Linked DNA regions of Macaca mulatta. Each later gene encodes a partner of the first gene's protein in a complex. Links are inferred from orthologs where the notes say so. Each region holds a gene or a part of one and is shown on either strand. Other genes may lie near its edges. The genes, in order: PIGA and PIGY.

Region 1 (4,511 bases):
TTATTGCAGCCTCACCAAAACTCCATGAGTTATCAACTCCATCTTAAAAATGGAAAGTCTAAAGCTTAAAGGGGTTAAGAAATTTGTTCAGTTACTCAGTGCTTAGAGGTAACACAATGTAGCAGTCTGTTTCATTAGTGGTCATGTCTCCTGGTATTTATGCCCTTCTATAGTATAGTCCCTTTCCCTTGCATTTGGACCTGGTTTAGCCCATAGGAGGTAGTGAAAGTGATGTGCAAATTTTTGGCCTCAGCCTAAAAAAGGTGTGGTGGTTTCCAAGCTGTGGTGGTTTTCACTTGTGCACTCTTAGATATCCTAAGCCAACATGTAAGAAATCCATCTACTGTGCTAGAGGGGCAAGGGAAGAGATGACAATATGGAGAAAGAAGAGCTCTGAGACTACATGGAAAGAGCCAGAGGCCCAGTCATCCAGCCAACTTACCAGCTAAATGCAGCCTCCTAGTGACCACCGGCAAGACCAACAGAACCACCCAGCTGAGCCTAGCTCACTGCAGTATCATGAAAAATAACAAAATGGCTGTTGTTTTACATCATTAAGTCTTGGGGTGGTTCGGTAAAAAATAACAGACAACTAAAACAGGCCAGGATTCAAACTCAGTTATACGGTCCACTGCCTGTTTTTGTAAAGTTTTATAGGATCATAGGTGTGCCCATTCATTTATGTGAATGGCTACTTTTGTGCTACAAGAGCAGAGTAGTTGCAACAGAGACCATATGACCCACAGAGTTGAAAATATTTACCATCTGGTCCTCTACAAAAGTTTGCCAACCCCTGCTGTAGAGCTTAGTCACTAATTCAATTAATCTCATAAAGTTTTGCTAGTATTACCTGTGTGGTTTACACTAAAACACACCTGGAGCTCTAACTATCTTTTTGAGAGCACCTTTTTCAAATGTCACCAGAGCACATGCTGCAAACAATCCACATGTTCTCCTTCCTTATTCAAAAAGGGTGATTATTTAGGCCGGGTGTGGTGGCTCACGCCTGTAATCCTAGCACTTTGGGAGGCCGAGGTGGGTGGATCACCTGAGGTCAGGAGTTCAAGACCAGCCTGGCCAATATGACGAAACCCCATCTCTATTAAAAATACAAAAATTAGCTGGGCATGGTGGTGCCTGCCTGTGGTCCTAGCTACTCGGGAGGCTGAGGCAGGAGAATCGCTTGAACCTGGGAGGTGGAGACTGCAGTGAGCCGAGATCACACCACTGCACTCCAGCCGGGTGACAGAGCGAGACTCCGTCTCAAACAAAACAAAACAAAAACACAAAAACCAAAGAGGGTGATTATCTAACTGCTCCCTTCACTTTTTAAACTTTTCTTTCAGTTATGCAGGCCTTTCAAACTCAATGAGTGTCCCTCCCTTCAGTGTGGTGTCTAAAGATAAAGGCTAAAACTAGAGATGGGCTGTATCTGGGACCATTTTTCCATTTAAAGTGCAAAATGTTTATCTCAGGGGTCCCCTAAAGCCTTATTAATATGAAACGCCCACTCAATATTTAGTACTATTATACATTCTTAGATATCTAAAGCTAAAAAGAATCTTGGATATCTAGTCAAAATCTTCCTCAGCTTTACAAATAAGATTTCCAAGGCTCCAGAAAACACAACTATACAACGAGAAACCATCCTAAAGCTCCGAGTTTCCGGTTTCACCTGCAAACTCAGAAAATGCCAATTAACTGTATGTGCAAAGGCCTGTCTATTCTCTCCAACAAATTCATCTACTTTTTTTTTTTTGAGAGGGAGTCTCACTCTGTTGCCCAGGCTAGTGTGTAGTGGAGCAATCTCCGCTCACTGCAGCCTCTGCCTCTCGAGTTCAAGCGATTCTCCCACTTCAGCCTCCCGAGTAGCTGGAATTACAGGTGCACACCACACCAGCTAATTTTTGTATTTTTAATAGAGACGGGGTTTCATCATGTTGGCCAGGCTGGTCTCGAACCCCTGACCTCAGGTGATCCACCAGCCTCGGTCTCCCAAAGTGCTGGGATTACAGGTGTGAGCCACCGTGCCCGGCCTCATCTACATTTTAAATACACTCTCAGAAAGACTCCAGAAGTGTTTGTTGACCTGAATTTACTAATTAAGATTCAATATTACCAAATATCGAAATTCCCCAAGTTTGTACTTTTAGGTGGCTTAACTAACATTTTCTTACTGTGGTCACCTAATCCCGAACTTACAGTTCTACCAGTTTTAAAAGATGAACGATAACAAAAGCAGTGAGTAATGAACCAAATATCATTTAAAATTTTGTCCTCAGCCTGCAACGTTCTGTGAGGAGTCTGCCCACTTCCACCAGGTTTTCACTCCAAACATCTCTGACATAAAAGTTCAATATGCTGCACAATCGCAAAATCTTAGCTTTTAAAGCCGAAATGAGGCTTGGAGCTCTAGTGAATACCTCTCTCGCTTTATAAATGAGAAGCCAGACAAGTTGAGTCATTTGTCCAAGGTTCCCACCCAGCCACTTAAAGTGGCAAAGAAGACCTTACCGTAAAATTCTCGACCACGGTCAACGAGTCCCGGGCAATCATTAGCGGTAGCGGTTCCTTAAGAACCTTAGGGAGACCTGGCAAGAGTTGTGGGTCAAGAGAATGGTACTTCCACCGACAATTCCTGGGCACTGTCTGAGCTTCACTCCCTGATTCCCTGAGAGGTCGCCGGGGAAACGCTCGGGCCAAGGAGGGGATGACCCTGCTCAGACAGCGACCCCGCTGGGTTCATGGCGGGGACTGGCCAGGCCCAAAGAGAGAAGGAAAACAGCCAGAGAGTGGACGTGGGTCTCAGGCCCGGGGTTCCGAAGACCCCAGTTCCTCGACCCACCCGCCTGAGCCAAGGAACCGTCCTAAACGCACCCTCAGACCCAACCTACTCTGGAGATCCTCCGACCCAACTTCCGGGCTTCGAGCCGGGTCGGCTTCAACCCGTCCACCACCCGCCACGAGCCCACGGGCGCAGAACAGCCCCATCCAAAAGCGGGCCAGAGCGCTAGAGACGGGCGGCGAGACGCGTACTCACCGGTTAGTTCCATGGCCGCCAGTGTCCGGACCTCCCGCGGCTACAGCCTGAGTCCCTCCCTGCTGTCCCTCAGCACCAATCTAGGCGTCCGCGCCCAAGGGCCGCGCCCCCTAGGTAACCAATCACAAAGAGGCGCTGAGGTCACGTCCGAGAGCGACGCTCTGTCGTCCCCACCCTTAAGCGCGGGCTGCAACGTCAGCGCGCGCCTGCGCCCGTCTCCTAGAAGCGGCCGTCGGTAGGGTGGGTGCCCCACCCTGGTTTCCTGGTTACAGCGTCTCTATTCTGGACGCCAGTTCCCTCCCCGCTTGCTGCTGATTGGAGAGACCTTTTGTTTGTAATCAGCTGTGCCACGGCAGAACCGTGCCCGTTCTTACCGCTCTGGGACGTTTGCCAGATGTAGCAAATAAAAATACACAAAAAGTCAAAACAGATGAAACTATGAAGTTTCAATTTCAAATAAAGCACAAATGATGTTTAATACAAGCATGTACCAAATATTGGGGATTTCACTACACAATTATTCGTTTTTTATCTGACATGTAAATTTAACTAGACATCTTGTTATTTATATGGCAACTCTACACTCTGGGGGAAACATATGAGGTCTGATCCGAAATATCAACTTCCACTCGAACTGGTTCAACTAGTTATGATGGTACTTGACCAGGAAGCTAAAGAATCAGTGAGAGTGGTGTGATGGTCATCCATGCGTCACAGCTGGTACTTGGAGTCCCCCATCCCTGCCATACGTGCGTTTTCGAGAACAAATTCCTTTCTGAGCACCATCACCGCCACCATTACTGGCACCCATTTTATTAAGCTTAGTGTAAGCCTATTCATCCCTGAAAATGTCAGCTTCTTTCTGATGCTTTTCCCAAGCCTCTAGAGAATGAAATACTCTCACTTTTTAGTGTTAATAGTACTTTGGCCATGTGCTGGTATAACATTTATCAGATGATATTCAAGTTGTTTGCTGATTGCATTCTCCCTCCTCACCCTGATCCTTGATTACTTGTCTCTTGAGATCTCACATGGACTTCTTTCTGAAAACTAGAAATTGTATTTGCTTGTTAAATGTCTGCCTTCCCTGCCAGATAGTAAGCTGAGGCAGGATCTGTTCTTAGTAATGGATGTTCAGTAAGTTTTAGTTTAATACATGAATTTCTTTACCCAATGTCAGCACGCTCCCTGACACATATTAGATGCCCAATAAAATGTATTGAAAGTATTTCATGGAGTGTACCTTATACAAATTACAGTGCAATAACATCATTGAAAGAGCATTTTAGTTGTGGGATTTGAATTGAATGAATGAGTTGATGAGTAAGGCAAGAGTAGCCATAGATACTTTGCCCTGTGTTGATATTGATGAAGCATGGGAGAATTACAATGATGAAGACTCAAGGACACTTAATTAAGCTTTATAATTTGTAGTTGGTTTCACAGATAACAGCGACACTACCAGATAGGT
Region 2 (4,500 bases), on another chromosome or scaffold:
CAACTGAAAATTAATTCCTGCTACTGCCCTAGTCGGAAATAGTGTGAAGGTAACATAGGAACTTTACAGTAGTTTCCCTTGAGGGTAAGTCCTGGTAACTGCCCTATTCTCTAGTCCGTTAGTGACTGGGGGGGTAAGTCCTGATAACTGCCCTATACTCTAGTCCCTTAGTGACTCTAATAACCGACTATGAAAGATTTCTTTGTGGGGGAAGGAAGGTGTGGCAACCGGAGACTTTCATTATCTCTTAAATATCTATCCAGTAGAAGTGTTTCCTTTTTGGTATCCTACAAACTACATTAACCTTAGAAAATCTCCTGAGCATTAGTGAACAAAGAACATCAAAAAATTAACTTTTTTTTTTAAAAAACAGGATGGCCCAAAAAACAAATAGACAAAAAATTAGGATGAACGCATAAACATTTCTCAATTTATTTTTACATTGGAGTGGGAGAGAAATTTGAAAATATAAACATATTTTCGTATTCTTTCCTTCTAGCCCCAGGAACTCAAAGTGTGAAATGATAATGCCCAGAGATGCAAAAAAAAGTTCAGGTTGATATTCAGCAGAACGGAGGGAAAAAATGGATGACTAACAAGAAACTTTGAGTCTTCGGACATGGAAAAACTAGATGACATAAAAATAAAAATAGACAACATTAATAGAGCACTAATTTGTGCCAGGCACTTTTCTAAATGTTCTTCGAATGCACAATCACATTTATCCCCTACCTTGACAGAACAAGGTAGGTACAATTATTAATCTTATACAGATAAGTAAAATGAGCAGTTAAGTCACTTGCCGAAGTAATCCGGCTACTAAACTGTGGACAGGAAACCAAGCTGTCAGGCCCCAGAGCCCAAGTTCCCATCTACTACACTGTAAGAAAGAGATCTAACATGCATCACTTCCTCGGAGAGTCGGAAGCAAACCTGGGATACAAATTCACTGAATGGATCACCCATTTGACTAACAGACATCTGCCTGTTACACAGTTATTTAGGCCCTTTGCGGCCTCCAAGCTCATTGATAGAAGTAAATTAGTTGTGCTTTATTACGCAAATACTTCACAATGACTGGGTCTCAGGCAGGAAGAATTTATATATTTTGGAGGGTCAGAGGCCTAGACCATTCCTTCCAGGTTCTCACTTTTTTAAATGAGACAGAAAGAAGTCAAACAAGATTACAGAAACTAATGGTATAGTAAAGACGTACATGAAACAAATGAACGCTTTCAATACATCCATGGCAATACATTCAATACAATACATGACAGTGTGTTTGAAACTTCACTTGGAGGTAACCACGTAGGTCCAAGCCTAACTCCCTACAACTCTGAGATCTGGCCACTGGCTTCCTAGCATCTCTGCCACAGGCCCCGGTGAAAGCCCAGACACCTCGACTTAAACACTGATTTAGTTTGTAGTCTGGTAAGGCGGCGGGGCACCCACTAGAGGCCTCAGCCCTGGGGCTGTCCTACGGCCTGCAGATGACGTCCGTGGGAAAAGCAGTCGGAGCAGGAGCACCCTCGGAACCAAAGCGCCCGCCCCGCCTACTCACCGGCAGCGTTTCCCAGAGCACCAGGGGGCGGGGCCTGGTCGGCTGGCTTGTACTACCGCGGAGCGAGGAGCTCGGCCCCGGCTGGCGGAGGCGCAGTGAGGCCTGGTCTCCGGCTGCCAGACCATGCTGAGCGGAGCACGCGGCAGGCTCGCCTCAGCGCTGCGGGGAACTAGCGCAGCGCGGTCCGCGGTCGCCTGTAGGTGTCTGCACGCGTCGGGCTCGCGGCCTTTGGCCGACCGGAGCAACGAGACGGAGGAGCCGCCCCGCGCCTTGGATCCGGCGCTGCTGGAGTTCCTGGTGTGCCCGCTCTCCAAGAAGCCGCTCAGGTGACTCGCTGGTCTTGGCCCTTCCTTCGCAGCCTCCCGGTGGGCGGAAAGGGAGTGGTGGACCGCGGCCTGTCTCAGCCACTGGGGACTTGTAGGTCGGTGAATACTCTCCGCTGCCATATTCTGGACTCTGTCCCCGCCGGTGCATGCACCTCCCCCTGCGGCGGGCAGAACGGGGGAGACCGGAGGCCAGGGGAGCCGCGTCCCACATCTCCCAGAGCACATAGCCAGCCTGCCGGAATGGCTCGAAGCGTTTTAGGCTTCGCGACCGGCTGCTCTTTGCAATCACCCGGGGACCGTTTTAAAAATGCCGATTCCCCTGCAGCCCCCAAGACGGGCAGACTTGGAATGCTCGGGGGTTGGGACCTGAACATTTGTATTTTCTTTTTTTCCTTTTAAGAGACAGGGTGCCCCCCTACGTTGCCCAGACTGGCCTAGAACTCCCACCTCAGCCTCCTCAGGAGTCGGGAGACAGGCGCCGCCCCCACGCCCAGCTTATTTGTGTTCTTAAATGGTCCCTAAATGATTTCTAACGTACCAGCAGGTTCTTGAATTACTGCGATTCAGGACAAGTCCAAAGCCATCCGGTTTTTAAGCCAAGATAATGAAAAGTATTTTACCCTCCAGATTCTTGTGAAAGTGTCTTGTACAACTGGTGCCTGACAATCTTAAGCAATTCAGCTGTGTATGCTGCCTGGTGGCTCTTAGTTGTGGCCTAGCAGATTTCTTAGAAGCCTCTTTAACCTAGTTTTTGGGAAGACAGCTCTACAGTTTCCAAGCTCCCAAAAATGGAATATTGACAACACTAACGCTAGTATTACAAATCGCATAAACGAAACACCAAAACGTTGTCAGTGGTTATCTTTGAGTGGTAGATTACTAGCAATTTTTCATATTTCTTTTTTCCCATAATAAACATATTCAGTTTTCTCAAACCTTGAAATTATTTGATTTGCGTTTATAACTAGCTCACGGCAGACTTACTGCTTTCCAAAGTTTCCTCATTTCTGCCCTCTCACCTTTTCCAGTGATTTCCTTCTAATGGATTAGTTAAGTTTTTCTACTTAGCATTTATTCTAAAACGAAGAAGTTGATTTTTCTCTAGTGTTTATTCCAGTAGTAAATTAACAGAGATGATTTGGGGGTTGACCAAAGTAATGAAGGAATATTTGGATAAGAGAGGGGGATCTTTTCTGACTAGTATGAAAAAAAAATTAAGGAATAACTTGTGAATAAGGTGAAAAAGAGAATATGAGAGAAACTGACTAAAATGGGAATAATTATAGATTCTAAGAGAATTTTTCTAAGATAAAAGGTTGAATTGGCTATCGTTGCTTTTAATTAAAGAAGACTATTCTGGGATTAACTCCATACCAAGAATTGGATAAATGGTGGTATTTGTTGAAAATCAGGCTCTTCAATTATTTTATTTTTCCACAACTCATTTTGTTCTTTTTTTTTTCCACCCCAGATATGAAGCATCAACAAATGAATTGATTAATGAAGAGTTGGGAATAGCTTATCCAATCATTGATGGGATTCCTAATATGATACCACAGGCAGCTAGGATGACGCATCAAAGTAAGAAGCAGGAAGAAGTGGAGCAGCGCTAGTTCATAATTAAAAAAACATAAAACGCAACAGCCAACTTTTCTTAGTACCATATACCTTTTAAAACACAGTGGCAGGTAATAAGTGGAAGAGAAGAATGTTTCTGTCTCTTCCTACATTGACTGTTCTTATTCCACTGGTTTCTTTAACAGGACTGTTCTACTCAGCCTCTGTGGAAGAAAACTTCCCACAGGGCTGCACTAGCACAGCCAGCCTTTGCTTTTACAGCCTGCTCTTGCCTATTACCATACCAGTGTATGTATTCTTCCACCTTTGGACTTGGATGGGTATTAAACTCTTCAGGCATAATTGATGCAACTAGAGTCAATATGCTGTATACATTAATGGTAGTTCTTGGGCATCTATCTCTGAAAGCTCAAATGGATGGAATTGAGTTTGTGGGAAAGAGGCTTTGCTTTGCGCATATCAGGCTTAGGACTGTGGGAAGCTTAAGTTGCAGGTGCTTCTTTTATTGTGCTCTTGTTCTGCCCTTGTTTTTTGAAGGCTCTGACTTATAACTGCTGTATCAGAAGAAACATTTTGACAGTGTCTTGTTGGAGATAAACATCCCTAATTGACATGTGATGACTATTTCTTATTCCATTCATCTAAAAGTCATTGAAATTTTGTTTTGCTTGTTTGTTTAGCTTCAAGGTCTTTGGTAAAGTCACATGTTAGGGATGACTGAAATAATTCCAAAGGAGTGATGTTGGAATAGTCCCTGTAAGGGAGAGAAATGCATTTGAACGAATGTGATACAAAACCATATAATGAAATAGAAATTTCATGTACTTACAAAAATTGAGTTTGTAAAATTACCTTCATTTCTTTGACATTAAATGCTTATATTAGCAATAAAGATGTTGACACTTTCCCATAAAAAATAAACCAGTTTGTAATCATTTGTTTTGTTTATTTGTTTGGTCACAGAAGTGTTATTGATACTAAGGGAAGTTGTAAAACTGCACTAAATATAGCTGTGTTTAGAGAGGTACTTAATAC

Evidence for each region.
Region 2: PIGA (region 1) and PIGY share a complex: the UniProt entries of both Homo sapiens proteins name them as parts of the glycosylphosphatidylinositol-N-acetylglucosaminyltransferase (GPI-GnT) complex. The link is inferred for Macaca mulatta from reciprocal best matches to the Homo sapiens genes PIGA and PIGY.

What each region holds. Positions count from the first base shown.
Region 1 is NC_133426.1:14,994,077-14,998,587, forward strand, and holds the start of PIGA (phosphatidylinositol N-acetylglucosaminyltransferase subunit A), read right to left. Parts: upstream 3,097-4,511; 5' UTR 3,054-3,096; coding exon of another isoform or gene 3,041-3,053; intron 2,592-3,040; exon of another isoform or gene 2,515-2,591; intron 510-2,514; exon of another isoform or gene 1-509. UniProt on the Homo sapiens protein: Catalytic subunit of the glycosylphosphatidylinositol-N-acetylglucosaminyltransferase (GPI-GnT) complex that catalyzes the transfer of N-acetylglucosamine from UDP-N-acetylglucosamine to phosphatidylinositol and participates in the first step of GPI biosynthesis.
Region 2 is NC_133410.1:97,843,144-97,847,643, reverse strand, and holds PIGY (phosphatidylinositol N-acetylglucosaminyltransferase subunit Y), read left to right. Parts: upstream 1-1,595; 5' UTR 1,596-1,684; coding exon of another isoform or gene 1,685-1,887; intron 1,888-3,358; coding exon of another isoform or gene 3,359-3,500; 5' UTR 3,501-3,595; coding exon 3,596-3,811; 3' UTR 3,812-4,390; downstream 4,391-4,500. UniProt on the Homo sapiens protein: Part of the glycosylphosphatidylinositol-N-acetylglucosaminyltransferase (GPI-GnT) complex that catalyzes the transfer of N-acetylglucosamine from UDP-N-acetylglucosamine to phosphatidylinositol and participates in the first step of GPI biosynthesis.